Canis lupus familiaris: one gene and its partners. The protein of the gene in region 2 interacts with the protein of the main gene of each other region in a biochemical or structural test. Links are inferred from orthologs where the notes say so. Each region holds a gene or a part of one and is shown on either strand. Other genes may lie near its edges.

What was found.
Region 1: the proteins of UBE2I (region 2) and PIAS1 form a complex in vitro, tested with the Homo sapiens proteins (12 studies listed by BioGRID, with this or other methods). The link is inferred for Canis lupus familiaris from reciprocal best matches to the Homo sapiens genes UBE2I and PIAS1.
Region 3: the proteins of UBE2I (region 2) and PIAS4 form a complex in vitro, tested with the Homo sapiens proteins (4 studies listed by BioGRID). The link is inferred for Canis lupus familiaris from reciprocal best matches to the Homo sapiens genes UBE2I and PIAS4.
Region 4: of the proteins of UBE2I (region 2) and PSME3, one has a biochemical effect on the other in vitro, tested with the Homo sapiens proteins (2 studies listed by BioGRID). The link is inferred for Canis lupus familiaris from reciprocal best matches to the Homo sapiens genes UBE2I and PSME3.

What each region holds. Positions count from the first base shown.
Region 1 is NC_049251.1:32,546,733-32,550,944, forward strand, and holds the start of PIAS1 (E3 SUMO-protein ligase PIAS1), read left to right. Parts: upstream 1-1,412; 5' UTR 1,413-1,427; coding exon 1,428-1,484; intron 1,485-2,720; exon of another isoform or gene 2,721-3,864; intron 3,865-4,212. UniProt on the Homo sapiens protein: Functions as an E3-type small ubiquitin-like modifier (SUMO) ligase, stabilizing the interaction between UBE2I and the substrate, and as a SUMO-tethering factor. Catalyzes sumoylation of various proteins, such as CEBPB, MRE11, MTA1, PTK2 and PML.
Region 2 is NC_049227.1:39,919,405-39,922,904, reverse strand, and holds part of UBE2I (SUMO-conjugating enzyme UBC9), read left to right. Parts: intron 1-1,472; 5' UTR 1,473-1,483; coding exon 1,484-1,549; intron 1,550-1,742; coding exon 1,743-1,826; intron 1,827-2,918; coding exon 2,919-2,991; intron 2,992-3,500. UniProt on the Homo sapiens protein: Accepts the ubiquitin-like proteins SUMO1, SUMO2, SUMO3, SUMO4 and SUMO1P1/SUMO5 from the UBLE1A-UBLE1B E1 complex and catalyzes their covalent attachment to other proteins with the help of an E3 ligase such as RANBP2, CBX4 and ZNF451.
Region 3 is NC_049241.1:55,944,840-55,948,907, reverse strand, and holds the start of PIAS4 (E3 SUMO-protein ligase PIAS4), read left to right. Parts: upstream 1-1,268; 5' UTR 1,269-1,283; coding exon 1,284-1,328; intron 1,329-3,726; exon of another isoform or gene 3,727-3,824; coding exon 3,825-4,068.
Region 4 is NC_049230.1:20,062,001-20,066,114, reverse strand, and holds the start of PSME3 (proteasome activator complex subunit 3), read left to right. Parts: upstream 1-1,314; 5' UTR 1,315-1,357; coding exon 1,358-1,432; intron 1,433-1,535; coding exon 1,536-1,568; intron 1,569-1,705; coding exon 1,706-1,768; intron 1,769-1,959; coding exon 1,960-2,064; intron 2,065-2,964; coding exon 2,965-3,013; intron 3,014-3,687; coding exon 3,688-3,800; intron 3,801-4,104; coding exon 4,105-4,114. UniProt on the Homo sapiens protein: Subunit of the 11S REG-gamma (also called PA28-gamma) proteasome regulator, a doughnut-shaped homoheptamer which associates with the proteasome. 11S REG-gamma activates the trypsin-like catalytic subunit of the proteasome but inhibits the chymotrypsin-like and postglutamyl-preferring (PGPH) subunits.

The DNA of each region.
Region 1 (4,212 bases), on a different chromosome or scaffold from region 2:
TAGCCTTCACTTCCTGGTTGCAACTAACATGTTTAGCAGCCAATGTTGGAATCTTAGGCCTTTTTGGGGTCTTTCCTGAGATGCATCTTGTCTCAGGCATGTTACATGGCCTTCTAAATGCCCCTGTGTTCATGAGCACTTTTCATTTTGAATGACCTAAATTCCCAGTATACTTCTCTCCTTAGCTTTTACTCCCAGGCTTTAGGTGGTCTATTTAGGTACCAATGGTAACCTTCGTCCCCAGGCAGTTGCAGGTTGTTTATTTACCTTACAGTATTTTCAGGCAATGTCTGCCGCTTTTCTGCTGGTTAAGCAAAAGAGAGATAAGCCTTGCGTTAGTCCTTCAGCTGGCTTCCAGGAAGATTAGAACAGATGAAAACAATGATTTCCAGGGACTAGAGCTCCATCCTAGGAAGGTGGGCTGCGGTGGCCAAGTCATAGATAGAGTAGGGCAGGGATAAATGAAAGTATCATAAAGTTTTCTTGCCATTTTTAAGTTGTCTTATTTTATTTTACTTTATTTTTTGGATTGAACATTTACTTGGTTGACTGTTTTCCAGAATTCTGACAAAGTTGGTCTGACAGTTGCTGGTTATTTTTTAAAGTTTCCATGGAGGTATGGGGGTTTAGAGCTGTCAGTTCTGCCATTTTGATGATATCCCTCTCCTCACAATTTTGATACATTGTATCTTCAATATTTATATACATGTATACTTTTTAGATATTCATATTCATATATACATATATATATGAAAAAATGTGTACTTTTGTATTGAAGTAATTATAGATTCACAGGAGATTGCAAAGAAATGTATAGGGAAGTCACATGCATCCTTTCCCCAGTCTCCCTGGAAGTTAATATTTTGTGGAACTAAAGTGTAATATCAAAACCATGAAATTGACATTGGTAGGAACCACCCTTTCCCCCCATCCCTAATTCCTTGACAACCACTAGTCTATTCTCTATCTCTGTATTTATGTTATTTCATTAATGTTACATAATAGACATCCTTTTGGGATTATTATTTTTTCAATCAGTATAATTTCCATGAAGTTTATCCAAGTTGTTGTGTGTTTTTGTTTTTGTTTTTAAATTGCTAAGTAGTATTCCATAAGATACCTGTATTGCAGTTTGTTTAGCCATTTACCCATTAAAGGAGATTTGGATAGTTTCTGGTTTGGGATTCTTATAAAGCTGCTATGAACATTCTTTTTTTTTTAATTTTTATTTATTTATGATAGTCACAGAGAGAGAGAGCGAGAGAGGCAGAGACATAGGCAGAGGGAGAAGCAGGCTCCATGCACTGGGAGCCCGACGTGGGATTCGATCCCGGGTCTCCAGGATCGCGCCCTGGGCCAAAGACAGGCGCCAAACCGCTGCACCACCCAAGGATCCCTGCTATGAACATTCTTGTACAATTCCCTTCATGGAAAGAAGTTTTTGTTTCTCCGGGATAAATGTCCAAGAGTTGTTGGGTTGTATGGTGAGTACCTTTTCAGTTTTCAAAGAACGGCCAAACTCTTTTCCAAAATGGCTATACCATTCCTACCACAAACTTGTGTGTGATCCCTATCTAAGAAAGCTACTTCTCACTCAAGGTTATAGAGACTTACCCCAAAGAGTTTTAAAGTTTTAACTCATATTTAGGTCTATGATTAATTCGAAGTTAATTTTTACATGTTGGTGGGACAATCATTTTAGGGCCCACAAAAATGTTTTAAATCCTTAAAATCAGAAGAAAAAAATAAGCATACTCTGCTTGGATTGCATTAGTCTTTACCAATACAAATGTAAAATGTAGTTTTAAAAATATATATATTAAAGAAACTCTGAGGTTCTGACACTAAATCTTTCCATACCAATTCTTCTAACACCAACTAAATATCCAATAATTCAGTTTTGACATCAACTCCAGGGATAAGTTGAGATCCCACAGGTTAAGGGCTCAGTTCCACAAGACTGCTCCTACTTCAGATACCAGTTGCCAGTCTCATGGGCCACTTGAACTTCTGACCTACCAAATTTGAGAATTCCTATAATTTCTGCTCAGTTTTGATTATCTATTAGAATGGACTCACAAAACTCAGGAAAACATTTTACTTACATTTACCACTTTATTATTATTATTATCATTATTATTTTAAAATATTTTATTTATTCATTTCAGACAGAGAGAGAACATGAGCAGGGGGAGAGACAGATGGAGAAGGAGAAGAAGGTTCCCCACTGAGCAGGGAGCCCAATACAGGACTCGATCCCAGGACCTTGAGATCATGACCTGAGCCAAAGGCAGATGCTTAATCATCTGAGCTACCCAGGTGCCCCCTACCAGTTTAATATATAGGAAATAACTCAGGAACAGCTAAGTGAAAGAGATTCATAGGGTAATGCATGAAGGGCGGGAATGCAGAGCTTCTCTGCTCTCTCTTGGCGCCCATTTCCTAGTACTTCCATGTATCTACTAACCTCCCTCTAATCACTTTAGTCTTTCTTTCTTTCTTTTTTTTTTTTTTTTGATTTTATTTATTTGAGAGAGAACATGAGCAGGGGGGAGGGGTAGAAGGAGAGGGAGAAGCAGACTCCCCACTGAGCAGGGAGCCTCATGTGAGATTTGATTCTAAGACTCTCAGATCATAACCTGAGCTGAAGGCAGATGCTTAACCGACTGAGCCACCCAGGTGCCCAATGTTTAGTCTTTCCAGTGACCAGCTCCCATCCATTTTTTTTTTTTTTTTTAAGATTTATTTAGTTATTGCAGTTCTGCTGTGAGGTCATTTTAGATAATACAGAATTGACAGGTGGTTTTGGAAACAGAGATTATTAATAATCTTGATAAGTGATCTCGATGAGAGAAGTCAAGGCTGGATCGGAGTGGGCTGAGAAGGGAATGTGGTAGGAGAAGGGAATGAGGAAAGGAGAACAATCACTGTTGGGAGATCTTGAAAAACCTGAGAATTTATGCACTGAAGAGGGAGAAATAGGGCAGTTCTGGAGGAGATTTTGGAGTCAAGGGAGGTTTGTTTTAGATGGGAGGAATTTCAGTATGTTTGTATCCTGATAGAAGTAATCTAATAGGGGAAAAAGTTATGATGCTGGAGGGCGAGGTGATTGTAGGAGTAAAGTTTTTAGGAATGTGGGAGGGAAAGGAATCCAGGTCACTGGTAGAGGGACTGGCATTCATAGGCGCAAGGACACTTCATTCATAGTAACCCAAATGTTACTATGTCTGTAATAATAGTTTTGATGGTGAGAAGATAAGGGAGTTCATGGCTGTTATATCTTTTAATTTTTTTCCATGAGGAATGAAGCAAAAATTGAGAGCAAAGAGTGGAGGTTGGGAAGCTTTCAGTAGCGAGGAAAAGGTGTGAAATAATTCATCACATCTGCTCAAACGTCAAAATATTGGAGAAAGCCCTCCCGGTATCAAGCACATCTCCTTCCAACCGCTTTTTTCTCCCTGGACCTTTTTAGCTCTTTTCCGGTACTCCTCACCATTTGTAATTGTATCTTTTATCGGTGCACTTGTCTGTTCCTCCAGTAGAGAGCTACATACAGGAGGGCGGGGACTCTTTTTTTTTTTTTTTTTTAAATTTCCCCGATGTATTCACAAAGAAACAGGACTGGTACATAATCAGTGAATCATCACTCGTTGAAACAGAGTTAAATGAACGAACGTCTATGAAATTTTGTCTCCGGGTCACCGCTGTCAAAGTGTTTGGGCCACTCACTTTTCCCCTTCCCTGAGCTCTCATTTCTGACTACGTAGGATGCCACGGGGATTGTAACGTCTCCTCTGCCCACCTCACCGCGCCGTCATGAGGAACATCTGAGCTAAGAAATCTGGAAATGCTTCATCCAGCGATCTGCAAACGTAACGGATTATTTTTAGCGCACGCGTGGCCTCACAGGTAGCAGGTGCTGAAAAGGACTCGCTGGCTGCGCCGGGGGGGAGGGGGGAGGCGGAGGAGGGGGGAGGCGAGGGGGCCGTTATGGTTTCTGGGACTGCAGGCATCCAAGCTTTGCAAGAAGGGTTCTGCAGGCCACGGAGAGGCGGGGCTCTGGCCCGCACCCCCCCCGCCCCCCCGCTCCGGCTTTCCCCGGAGGCGCTAGCCCGGCGAGGATGGGGGGCGGGGAGGTCCAGGGGGGAGTAACTGTCAAACCTCCTCGCTTGGCGCCTTTATTTAAATGGTACGTGCGGGTCTCGCTGCTGT
Region 2 (3,500 bases):
GTTGAGGCTCCACACTTAGCCAGGGCCCTACCTTCTGGTCGTTCCCAGGTCTGTCGAGCCTGGTGGGGAAGCAGGGGTGTAGGTGAACCTGAGCCCAGGAACATGGCTGGGAGGTGGTTCTCCTGAACCCAACTGAAAACCCTGGTAGTTGTGGAGAACCCCGCATTGTACTCAGGAGCGTGGGTTGTTGGACCTTTAACCCCATAAGAGCAGAGCAGAGACTTGTTGCCAGGTGTCCATGAAGCCTGCCTGAAGGGTTGGGGCAGGCTGCTGTCATCCCCTTCTAGGAGACACCCTCTTTGTCTTGTTAAAGCCTTGTTTATGGTAAATGTTGGATTCTAGGAGTCCTCGATGTTTCCATGGACTTTGAAGAGCAGCAAACAGACTCAGGGCAAGATTCTCCCAGGGCAGGAGGGAGCCAAGGGCAGCTGGGGGCGCCCCAGCCTGTTCTTTGCTGGGTGAGCGGCAGCCCAGAGAGTCTGTTCCACCTGCAGGCTGCGCACAGGTGTGCTCAGCGGGCGCCAGGCCACTGGTGGGAACAGCCAGAGGCACCAGGCCTTGGGGGCTCGGAGCTGCCGTCTCCCACAGCCAGCACGCTCCCAGGACAGGTGGACGCTGGGCAGGCTGTGGGCTGGCCACTCACCTCCTGCTGACTCCCTGAGTAAATGGGAGATAGGCCTTGATCCATTTGTTGTTTGTGGGGCGGCTGTGGATCTGGGGGCAGGGGGTGGCTGTGGGATGGGTAAGTGGAGACGGCAGTGGGTAGCGCCTGGGGCCCTGGTGAGAGGTGGGTCTCTTGGGTGCTGGGGGCTGGGTGCTGTCCAGGGACTTGCGCATGATGCGGTGTGAACTGATGTCCGCCCTGGGGCACCTTTGTACTCCATTGCTTTCAAGAATAAGTGTGGTTTGGGCAGCCCCAGTGGCCCAGCAGTTTGGCGCCACCTTCAGCCCAGGGTGTGATCCTGGAGACCCGGGGTCGAGTCCTGCGTCGGGCTCCCTGCGTGGAGCCTGCTTCTCCCGCTGCCTGTGTCTCTGTCTCTCTCTCTCTGTGTCATGAATAAATAAATAAAAATCTTAAAAAAAAAAAAAAAAAAGAATAAGGGTGGTTCTCCTGACCAGACAAGAACCTAGATTCTGAGCCGCGGGCCTAATGCCCCCCACCTCGGCACTGGCAAGGGGGACAGGTGTGCAGGCGTCTGCCGGGAGTGCTTGGCCAGGCCTTTCTGTGCAGCACTGGACAGTTGTGTAGCCCCAGGCCTGTGCCTTCACCTCCCTGCACCTCGGGGTCACTGGGAAATGGAGACCACAGTGGGGGCCCTGGGAGGGGGGAGGCCGGGTCAGCCCCGTGGGGCCCCCAGGTGGGGTGGCTCGCTGAGAGCACGGTGCATGTGCAGCAAGCTGTGAGAGCAGAGGGGCCGGAGGAGCCTGAGGCCGACCCTTGCTAACCACACGCCCTGCCTGGTCTCTTCCAGGGACTTTGAACATGTCGGGGATCGCTCTCAGCAGACTCGCCCAGGAGAGGAAAGCCTGGAGAAAGGACCACCCGTTTGTAAGGAAAGCTTTATTTCTGCACACAGCAGAGTGGATCCGTTTCTCCTGACGGAAACCGGGACGTCCCCGTCCAGCCCGGGCCTGTCACGTGCTCTGTGCGGAGGGCCCGTGGGGGGTCATGGGATGGTTCTGCGAGTGGGTGAGACGAGATGCCGCGGCGCTGATGTGCTTGTGTGGTTGTTTTCTCTCAGGGCTTTGTGGCTGTCCCGACAAAGAATCCCGACGGCACGATGAACCTCATGAACTGGGAGTGTGCCATTCCAGGGAAGAAAGGGGTAAGAGGTGCTGCTCCTCGGCTAGCCCCGTGTGTGGGCCCCATGCCCTCTTGGAGGAGTGGGGAGGAGGCCAAGGTGACATGTGACACACACAGCCCCCCAGGGCAGCTGTAATTCAGAAAGCAGGAGCTGGGCTGAGGAAGGGGGTTGCTGGGCACCCCCACCAAGCCTGGGGGGCAGACCTGCTGCATCTCTGGGGCAAGAGGAGCCTTGAGGGCCTTCGCATTTTCCTTCAGGATCAGCCTCGTGATGCTGGGTCCTGGTGGTCTTTGAGCCCAGGGCGGCTGCTGGCCCTCAGGTGTGGAAGTCCCACGTGGGCCCCCTGGGAAAGCCGTGTGCGGCCTACGTGTGCCAGGCCGGTTAGGATGGGCGTGCTTGAAGCATTTGGAAGTGAGGATCTCCAGCAACCCCACATCTGGCTCTTCCCGGGAAACCCTGAAAGAGAGAGGAGGCCCCTAAGGGGTCCCCATTAGGTCCGACACCTCATCGCTTCTGTTTCTTCCTCCCATGGTTCACGATGACCGTCCCAGGAGCTCAGCCTTGGTGGTTCCCAACAGTCAGTCTCCTTTCTTTCTGCTAAGCCAATGGGATTAGGACATGGCTTTGTCTGCAAGATGATGTGCTTTGGGTTCTCCGACCTTTGAGCGCCCAGCCTGCACCTCTGCTTTTGCTAAGACCATTCCTGGCCCCTCATCTGAGGCCAGGGCAGGCACAGTGTGGCCATCTCCCTCCCAGAGGAGGCTGGGGAGGGTCATGGAGCTGGAGTGGGGGGCCTCGAGGCAGCTGCTCAAGTAAAGATCCCAATCCCTCATCCTGGGGTCACCAGGGACAGCCTGCCAGGCCTTGCCTGTCTTCCCAGAAGTCCAGCTCCAGCCCTGCTCCTCTCTGGGGAGGGCTCTTCCCAGGGCCCCTTGGGGCCCACGGAAGCACCGACAGTCCTGTCACGGGGACAGCTGATCTTTGGGCCAGTGTAGGAGCCCACCTCCCTGTGGGGGCAGTGCTGGGGGACCTGCTACAGAAGCCAGCTGCTCCTGGGCTCGGCCCACCACAGAGGCCAGCAGCACACCTAACTACAGCTTTGCTTCCCAACAGACTCCCTGGGAAGGAGGCTTGTTTAAACTACGGATGCTTTTCAAAGACGATTATCCATCCTCACCCCCAAAATGTAAGTAGAGTGAAGTCCAGCGGAGATCGGAAGTCCCATGTTCCCTGGGGGCATTTCCAGGGGCACTCATCCTCGAAGCCGGCTGTGGATCTGAACCCGTTCCTAGCGCCCAGTGCTGGGAGCTGCACGTAATGGGCCTAGTCACAGGCCCTGGCTGTGATGCCCTGGACAGCTCCCGGGCGCTTCCTGGGGAGGAGGTGCCACCACCCCCACCCCAGCCCGGGCAGGGATGGGCATGCAGAAGGACCGCGGTGCAGAGCCTCGCCTCTCACAGCCTCCTTTCCCTCCCCCGCTGGTGCTCCACCTGTAGGTGACAGTTTCCTATCTGGCTTGTGGCCGCAGGCGCCCCCGGACAGATAGCACACCAAAGCGGCCAGAGAAGGCTGCGCTTAGAGCACCAGAGTGCAGTTAGCAAAACTCGGGGCCAGGCGGGCACTGAGTCCCTCCGGTCTCGTAGCTGCAGATCCACAAACCCTGCCCACAGTTGGTTAATTCAGTGAGCTAATGTG
Region 3 (4,068 bases), on a different chromosome or scaffold from region 2:
CTGTTCCAGGGGTACTGTCTTCCAGGTACCTTGCCCCACACTACAGTGGGGTTGTTCCCTTCCTCCCTGAGAAGTTTACTCCAGGCCTTTGGTGGCCGGGAGGTGGGAGACCGGACCTTTCCTGGACAGAGGCTCCGCCTTTTCCCCTCCCACTGATCTTCCCTCCCCAGGTCCTGACCTGTAAATGTTTTCTTTCTCCTGTTCCTCTCTCTCCCTCCATCTCCCTTCTCTTCCTGCGGAGATCTGAAATGCAGTTCCCTTCCCCCTGGAGCGTCCCCCTCAATGCCTGTACTACACTCTGCCCTTCTGTAGGGTTTTGAGAAATTGGGACTTGCCCTGGAGATGTGGAAGTCTGAACTCTGCATGCCCAAGGTAGCAGCCAGTGGGCTTGAGGACCCCCGGAGCCCTCAAATAAAGCCGTCCCATAGGGCTGTGACTCTGGGTGTACCCCACCCCCCACCCGGTCCCAGTCCCAGCCAGACGGTAGGGACTGAATTCTTTTATACCATCCAGGGCCTTGAAATATGATCTCATGAACTCTACTTGACCCTCCGGTGGCTGGGGCCCCCACCCCAATTAAATCAAGTTGACCCTTTTTTCAAGTTCTCTAGAACGTGAGCCTCTGTTCAGTGACACAGCTCGCTCCGAGCCTCGGGCGCCTTTCTTTAGTCTGTGGCTGCCACTGTGGAGTGTCTTAGGTGTCGTTGAAGTGTTCTCTTCTTTTAGGTGCTTACCTAGCCTTTTGTAGTAACAGGGGCTGGAGATTTTGTCTTTTGGAGTTCAAAACAGGCTGGTCCTCAGGGAGAATGACAGGGGCTTGTTGGTAAACTTGGAAATCCGCCTTTGCCTGAGGCCCCTGTGAGGGCTTGGGGAGAAGAGGCAGTCTGGGAACCCCTTGAGATGGGAGCATTTTGCACAGATCTCCCATTTCCTGGCGATAAGGACCTTAACTTTCCGCCACATTCAGAGGAACCTATACCCGAGACGGGTTAAGTTAAGCGCGGCAGCTCTATCCAGGCTGATGTTTTTCCACATAGCTCCAAACAAGCCCAGAGTTGAGACTCTGGAAGCCGTGGGGGCCTGGTGCTGTTTATAAACACAGATCTGAGGGGCAGGCGGGTAGGATGAAGCCATGGCAGGAAGTGATTTGCAAAGTGCTTGGGGCTTCTTCCTGAATGTTTGTGCCCCTCTCACACTGTCCCCCCTCCCAGTGTCAAGGGCAGGCTCCTTGGTGGTGGCAGCTGCTGAGAAATCCGAGTCGTGAACATATGGCAGCTTGAGGGATGTGCCCCAGGATGCTTGTGCGGCAGCTCCGGATGTCCAACCTGGTGAAAGGGCTGGGCCATGGCGGGGGCAGGGTGCTCCCAGGGGCGGGGTGATGGTAGAAGATGTGTTGTGGTCAGACTCGGCACACCGAGCCCACCTGCCTTTAGCTCCGTGGAGGGCACTCAGCTTCCACATGACGTCTCCTCTCCCCTCCAAGGCCTTGGGCCTCTTCCAGAAGAAACATCTTGTCTGCAAGCCTATTTTCTCTGCTCAAGGTAGGAAGTCAGGCCAAGGAAGGTGAAGTCTTTGTGTTTTTGTAAGCATTCTGGGCTCTCTGAGAGCCTACAGATTGCTTAAGTCCCAAGGCAGGAGGTGTGCTGGGATGTGAGGGGTCCCCAGGCCCCCAGATAGCTGGGTGGGAGTGGAAGGAAGTGCCCTTGGGACTCTGATGGCTCCTGCCACTGACACGTGGGGAGGCTCTGGGCCAGCCACGTTTTTCACGGGGCCTCGGTTTTCTAACCTGCCTGGTGGGCGTGGACCCTTGTGAGATTCGTGGCCGCAAAGAGCCCTTGTGCTTGGTGTGTGGCGGATGCTCCACATCTGTAGTGTGGGAATAGGAGGAAGGCCCTGCAGCGGGAAAAGGCTCCCCCTTGAGATTTTGCAGGCAGGATGGGCAGCCCCACATGTGTGTATCTGTCATTTTGTGCCTTGACAGCCTCTCTGCTATCAGCAGGAACCTGGTGGACGGCTGCCGAAATCTTAGAGGGCTCACATCTTGCATGGGTAGATGAGATGCCCAAAGTGCAGAGGGACCCTACAGAGGACCTGGGGTTGCCTAGGAACCCAGAGCTCCTGAGTCCTGGTGCTGCCCTCAGACTACACGCCTCACCCTTCAACAGCCAGGAAACGGGAAACACCAGAGCCTTCTGGCAGTGAGACTGCTACGTAAACACCCTGGCAGGGTTCCCACCCACCTCTAACTGTCAGACTCTCAAGTTGAATTTAAGGGCTTCATTGGTTTCCTTGGGTGCTGTCCTGCCCTGTGCCCGCCAGCTTCCCATATACACCTTCATCACTTGTACCTGTTTTCCCCATTCCCCTGGAAGTTTCTTTTTCCCCACCACATTTCATTCATTGCAGGCCAGCTTTGGGGCTCAGTGTGGGTGGCCCTGAAACCCTGCCGGCCTATCCATCCTTCAAGGATACTTTGCTTATGTAGCATATTGCGGAGTGTCAGTCCCCTTGGCGTCCCAGAGTCTCCCCGAGGCCAGGCTATGGTCAGGCCGCCCCAAAGAAAACATCAGCGTCAGCTGAGCTCTCGTGTTTGGTTTGATTTAGTCGGAGGGACCCTGCCAGGTAGTAAGTGCCAGACTCTGCTAGACCTCTTTCATCACTTTGCCACAGCTCACAGCCTCCGTGGCTGCTGTATTCCCAAAGCCTTCTCCTCAGACCCGTGGTTCTAAATGGGCCGAAACTGTTCCCAGGGCACACTTGGCAGTGTCTGGGGGACCTTTGTCATTATCACCACGGGAGCTTGGGGAGAGTTCCTGGCATCGAGTGGGTGGAGGTCAGGGATGCTGCTGAGTACCCAACAGTGCCCAGGATGGCCCCGCCCCAGAGAACAATCCAGTCCCAACGTCCACAGGGTCGAGGCAGAGAAGGCCTTCTGGAATGATCAGCAGACGTTTGATGTTCACCAGTGCTCAGCCCCATGTGGACACCCCTAGTGCAATAGAGAGAAATTACCCCTGGCTTTGGAGTCAGGCCTAGGTTTGAATCTTGGCTGTCATGTGGAGCTCCCCACAGCCCAGCAGGATTGTCATAAGAATCAGCGTTGAGTATATGATCACATGTGCAGCTCAGTTCCTGGCGAGTGATTGGTATTAAGTCGTGGCTACCATACTCCAGACTGAAGGGAAAATGTGTTTGTGGCCAACGTTGATTTTCTCTGCTTTCCGTATGTTACCTCATCTGGTCCTTCCCACATCCCAACGAAGTGGGTCCTGTCATCCTGACGAAGAGACTGAGGGTCACAGAGGCCATTAGTGTTCTTGGCTAGGGAGTGGCTGAGGCTGTTTACGGGTAAAGGAAGATTCCCAGTTCCTGCCCTGGGGATGCTTTCAGGCTTGAAGATGGGAAAAGAGAACTTAAAATAGAAGGCAGCGGTGTGTGTTGGGGGGGCGGTCAGAAGCTTTTGCTGCGTTGGCAGTGCTGAGGAAGGTTTGAGGAGGAAGAGGTGGAGGGGAGCAGGGTTAAGCTGGGAGGGGGCATCATAGGGAAGGGTGAGCGGGCAGCGTGAGCAAGGTCATGGAAGTGGGACTGAGCCTGGGCTGGTGGGCCTGGTGCCTACGCCTCCTCCTCCTCCTGGGCTCCTGCTCCTGCCCACCAGAGTGAAGGGGGTCTGGAGGGAGGGCCAGGCAGCACCTGATGGGCTCTCCTTTCGCTGTCCCCCCCGTTTAGGGCCCAGGTGGCTCCACGAAGCCCCTTGCCCCATTGGCAGTCCCCGAATCTGGCTGTGTCTCCTCTGAGCGTGTGTATCTGTGGTTGCTCTTCCCCAGAACATGGTGATGAGTTTCCGAGTCTCCGATCTTCAGATGCTCCTGGGTTTTGTTGGCCGGAGTAAGAGCGGACTTAAACACGAACTTGTCACCCGGGCCCTCCAGCTGGTCCAGTTTGACTGTAGCCCCGAGCTGTTCAAGAAAATCAAGGAGCTGTACGAAACGCGCTACGCCAAGAAGAGCTCAGAGCCTGTCCCCCAGCCCCACCGGCCCCTGGACCCCCTGACCATGCACTCAACCTACG
Region 4 (4,114 bases), on a different chromosome or scaffold from region 2:
AAAGTCGGGAGATCTGGGTCTGGAAACTGTGTGGGCTTGGACAAGCAATGCCGCGCTCCGGTTGTCAATCTGCCCATCAGGCAGCTGATCTCTGAGGTCTCGAACTGTATGAGGCTAAGTGACGGAGGAAGGTGGAGAAGCCTGGGACAACAGAGCTTGACTTCTGTTTGACTCTAGCCTAACACTAGAGCTTCGGCCGACGGGAGGAGGCAGCAAGAATCACAGAGTAGAACCCCCGAGCCCAGCGCCGGGGCCGCCGGCTTCCTCGGGCCGACGTCACTGGGGCGCGACGGCGCTGTCCGTCCTGTCCTCGAGGCGGCAGCGGTTCAGAAGGTCCCTGTGATGAGGGCGAGCGCCGAGCTAACAGAATGTCCAACAGTCCTGGAGTCTCTCTAATGCTCAGTTTTAAGCAAACCACCCTCGGCTGCTCTCCCTCCTACTTCGCCCTTACCCGGCATTGGATGCCGGCTGCTAGGAGTCCGGTCTCGGACGTCCAGGGCTGGACCCCAGCGCGGCTGCGCAGGGCACGTGCGCCTCTCCGGAGTCCCGGCGATTGGCTGTGATGTAACTTCCGGCGTGAGCGGCGAAAGCCGGGAGGGCGAGCGAGAGAGTGAGCAGGCAGCAGGCAGCAGGCGGGCGGGCGGACGGCTCGGAGGGAGGGAGCGAGCGAGCAGTGAGTGAGCCAGCGAGGGCGGTCGCGTCCCTAGAACAGCCGAGATTCTTCCCGTCCCTCTGACCCCCTCCCCGGAGCCCACAGCGCCTCTGGTCTCCAGTGGAGCGGACACGGCCCGGCCCGGCCATGGCCTCGTTGCTGAAGGTGGATCAGGAAGTGAAGCTCAAGGTAGCGGCACCGGTCTGGGCCTCCTTACCCCCCGCTTCGATTCCCGAGCAGTCTGACCGGCTCCCCACTCCCCATGGCGTCTTTGTCTCCCTGGGGACACCAGCTCTGAGCTTCCGCTCAGCTCAGCCCAGCCCCCCACTCCCGGAGACGGCATCAGGGGAGAGGATAATATGGGGTGGCCTTGTGAACCGCATCTGGTGGTGGAGATCCCCGAGGAGACCTCCGCGGACACGTGGTGGACTCAACACTTTAGGCCAGTGACAGCTGGAAGTCCCCAGTCCAGCAACGTCCCCGCCTCCGGATGCTACCGCTGTTCTACCCCTACCCTTGGCGTCAGGCCTCCCTGGTATCAAAGGCTAGGTCTGGATGGGGGCTTGGCACGTTTGTGAGCTCACATGCCCCCTGTCTACCTGACTTTCGTTTGCTCTCAAATCCAGACAGCTTCAGACACAAGGAGGGAGGGTGGGAGGGAAAGCAGGCGGGTGCTACCCTCAAACCCCACTTCCCTCTCCTGAGATGGAGAAATGGATCCTCAAAAAAATAAAGTATTTACAGTCTGGGGGTCTCTCAGCTTCTCATTACAATTACAAGGTGAGGGGAGTACGGCTGGATTTGGGTTTTCCCGTCCTGCCCTTAACCTCTGTTGCCAGGTACTGACTTGCTGTTACTGAATTGCTCTCTTTGTTAATTTTAGGTTGATTCTTTCAGGGAGCGGATCACAAGTGAGGTGAGTGCAATAAAAAAAATAAAATAAAATAAAATAAATAAGCGTTGGTTGATAGTTGGGAATTTCCCAAAGAAGAGATCTGTAGAGAGAGACCTTCCCACAATTATTAATTGAGCTGTATTTTCCTTCATTTTTAGGCAGAAGACTTGGTGGCAAATTTCTTCCCAAAGAAGTTGTTAGAACTTGATAGCTTTTTGAAGGTGAGAGACTCTTTTCTTCAAATTCCCGTTTTTTTGGCTCTGGTCTTTCTGTCAAATGGGAGAAATCATGTGTTGATTCTATTTTGTTTTGTACAGTAAAATGCTCTCATTTCTTGCCCTTCAAATAAAATACTTCTTTGTTCATTTTGAAAAGACTGATGTTGTTTTGGGGGTGGGCGTCTCTCTTTCAGGAACCAATCCTAAACATCCATGACCTAACTCAGATCCACTCAGACATGAATCTCCCAGTCCCTGATCCTATTCTTCTCACCAATAGCCACGATGGACTGGACGGTGTGAGTGTCCTGTATTTTTCTTTGTATTCTGAAGCAATAGTTCTCTAGTCTCTGTTCTTTACTTCCTAGTCAATTTAAACACATACGGAGGAGACAGTGGATTAGGATCTAGGAACAAGGGCTCTTATAGACCTGATGATTCCAGTATACCACTTTGAGACCCTGGTTTTCATTTATAGCATGAAGTGTGTAATGTAATGTTACTTTGTCCTACAGTGAGTTCCTAATAGGACTAGTAGCTACAGGTTTCCTCAAGTTATCTGGTCTGTCCCTGTGGCTCTAAACAAGATATTTCTTACCTTTTTCAATGTCTTGAGTATTGTTAGAGGATGAGTAGTGCTTGCTATATAACTGTAGTCTCTGTCTATGTGACATATATTTAGAACCCCGTGCTTGCCAGTTACATGTCCACATTTCATAATAACAGTGTTAACACTGTATTGTCTGAATTACTGTGTCCTTGATAGAGCTTGCAATTCTGGAAAACAGAAACTATTAATCATCTTTGTATCCCTAGCACCTAGCACTGTACTTGGTACATAGTAGGTGCTAAGTACATGTTTGTTGATTGAATATTGTACTTCTTTGTGGAAGTTGAAGATTTGTACATATTCCCTTTAGTATACTCACTGTGCTTTGAATGGTTCATTTTTCCTGTTGCTTATAGTATCCACCCCTCTCCCCCAGTTGCTTAATGTGTCATTTGAAGGCTGGTCTTCCCAACTAGATTGTAACTTGCTTTGTGGCAAGAATCTTTTTTAAAGTCTTATATGTGCTTAGTAAATTGTGCATAAATGAAAACAGCCTATGGGGCCAAAGAGATTAGACTTGCTTGAAGGGTAACTTGTGATGGGAATATGGGTGTCAAGAGCAGACTAATTCCTATCTCTGTATCCTTAGCCCACTTACAAGAAGCGAAGGTTGGATGAATGTGAAGAGGCCTTCCAAGGTAAGAGCCAGTCTCCCCCGCCCACCTACTCCCTGGCTTGCAACCCTGAGCAGGAGGATTGATCTGGCAGTCTCTGATCAGAAAACAAGACCGAATTTTATTTTCCAGCGTTAACATTCCAAAGTTCTACAAACATGGTTATTATTTAGCACCCCAAACCTAATTTCCCAATAAATAGGGAGCGGTTGACTTAGTGTGGACTGTCAAGGGGGAGAGGTTTGAGGTGGCTACACATCTTAGATTTTCCACAGAAGTTCTAGTTATTTTCTCTTTTTCAGTAATAGTTGGTGCATTAAATCTTTAGAGCATATTTTAATTTCCTATTCTTTCCTTATTCAGATTTTGGCACTTTTTTTTTTTTTAAGGATTTTATTTATTCATGAGAGAGAGAGAGGCAGAGAGGCAGAGACATAGACAGAGGGAGAAGCAGGCTCCGTGCAGGGAGCCCGATGCAGGACTCAATCCCGGGACCCTAGGATCATACCCTGGGCCAAAGGCAGGCGCTAAACCGCTGAGCCACCCAAGGATCCCTTGACTTCGGCACTTTAGACACTCATTTTAGATAAAAAGCAGAGATCATAGCATCTCATGGGTCTGGGAAACAAGGAAGGTGGGGGTATTATGTCCTGTCCCCCAATCCCTCAATCATTTGACCTTCTTCATGTCCCTGCCAGGAACCAAGGTGTTCGTGATGCCCAATGGGATGCTAAAAAGCAACCAGCAGCTAGTGGACATTATTGAGAAAGTGAAACCTGAGATCCGGCTGCTGATTGAGAAATGCAACACGGTGAGGCAGGGGCTAGTGACTTAAGGGCTGACCCCAAAAAGCCTGGCTTGAATTATGAAAAATATTGGTTGTGGGGCAGGAGGCATGGAGGTGATAGAGGAGTTGGCACATTAAGTATCTTGGCTACCATGTTCCTGGCATCTGATCCCAGCAGCAAGGATTGTATATTTCATGGCTTCAGCAGAAAAAGCGAGGGTCTTCATATATGTGTGTGTGTGTGTGTGTGTGTGTGTGTTTCTATATATATATATATGTCTATATATATCCATATATATGTATATATATTGGTCCTCTCACCCTTCAGGTCAAAATGT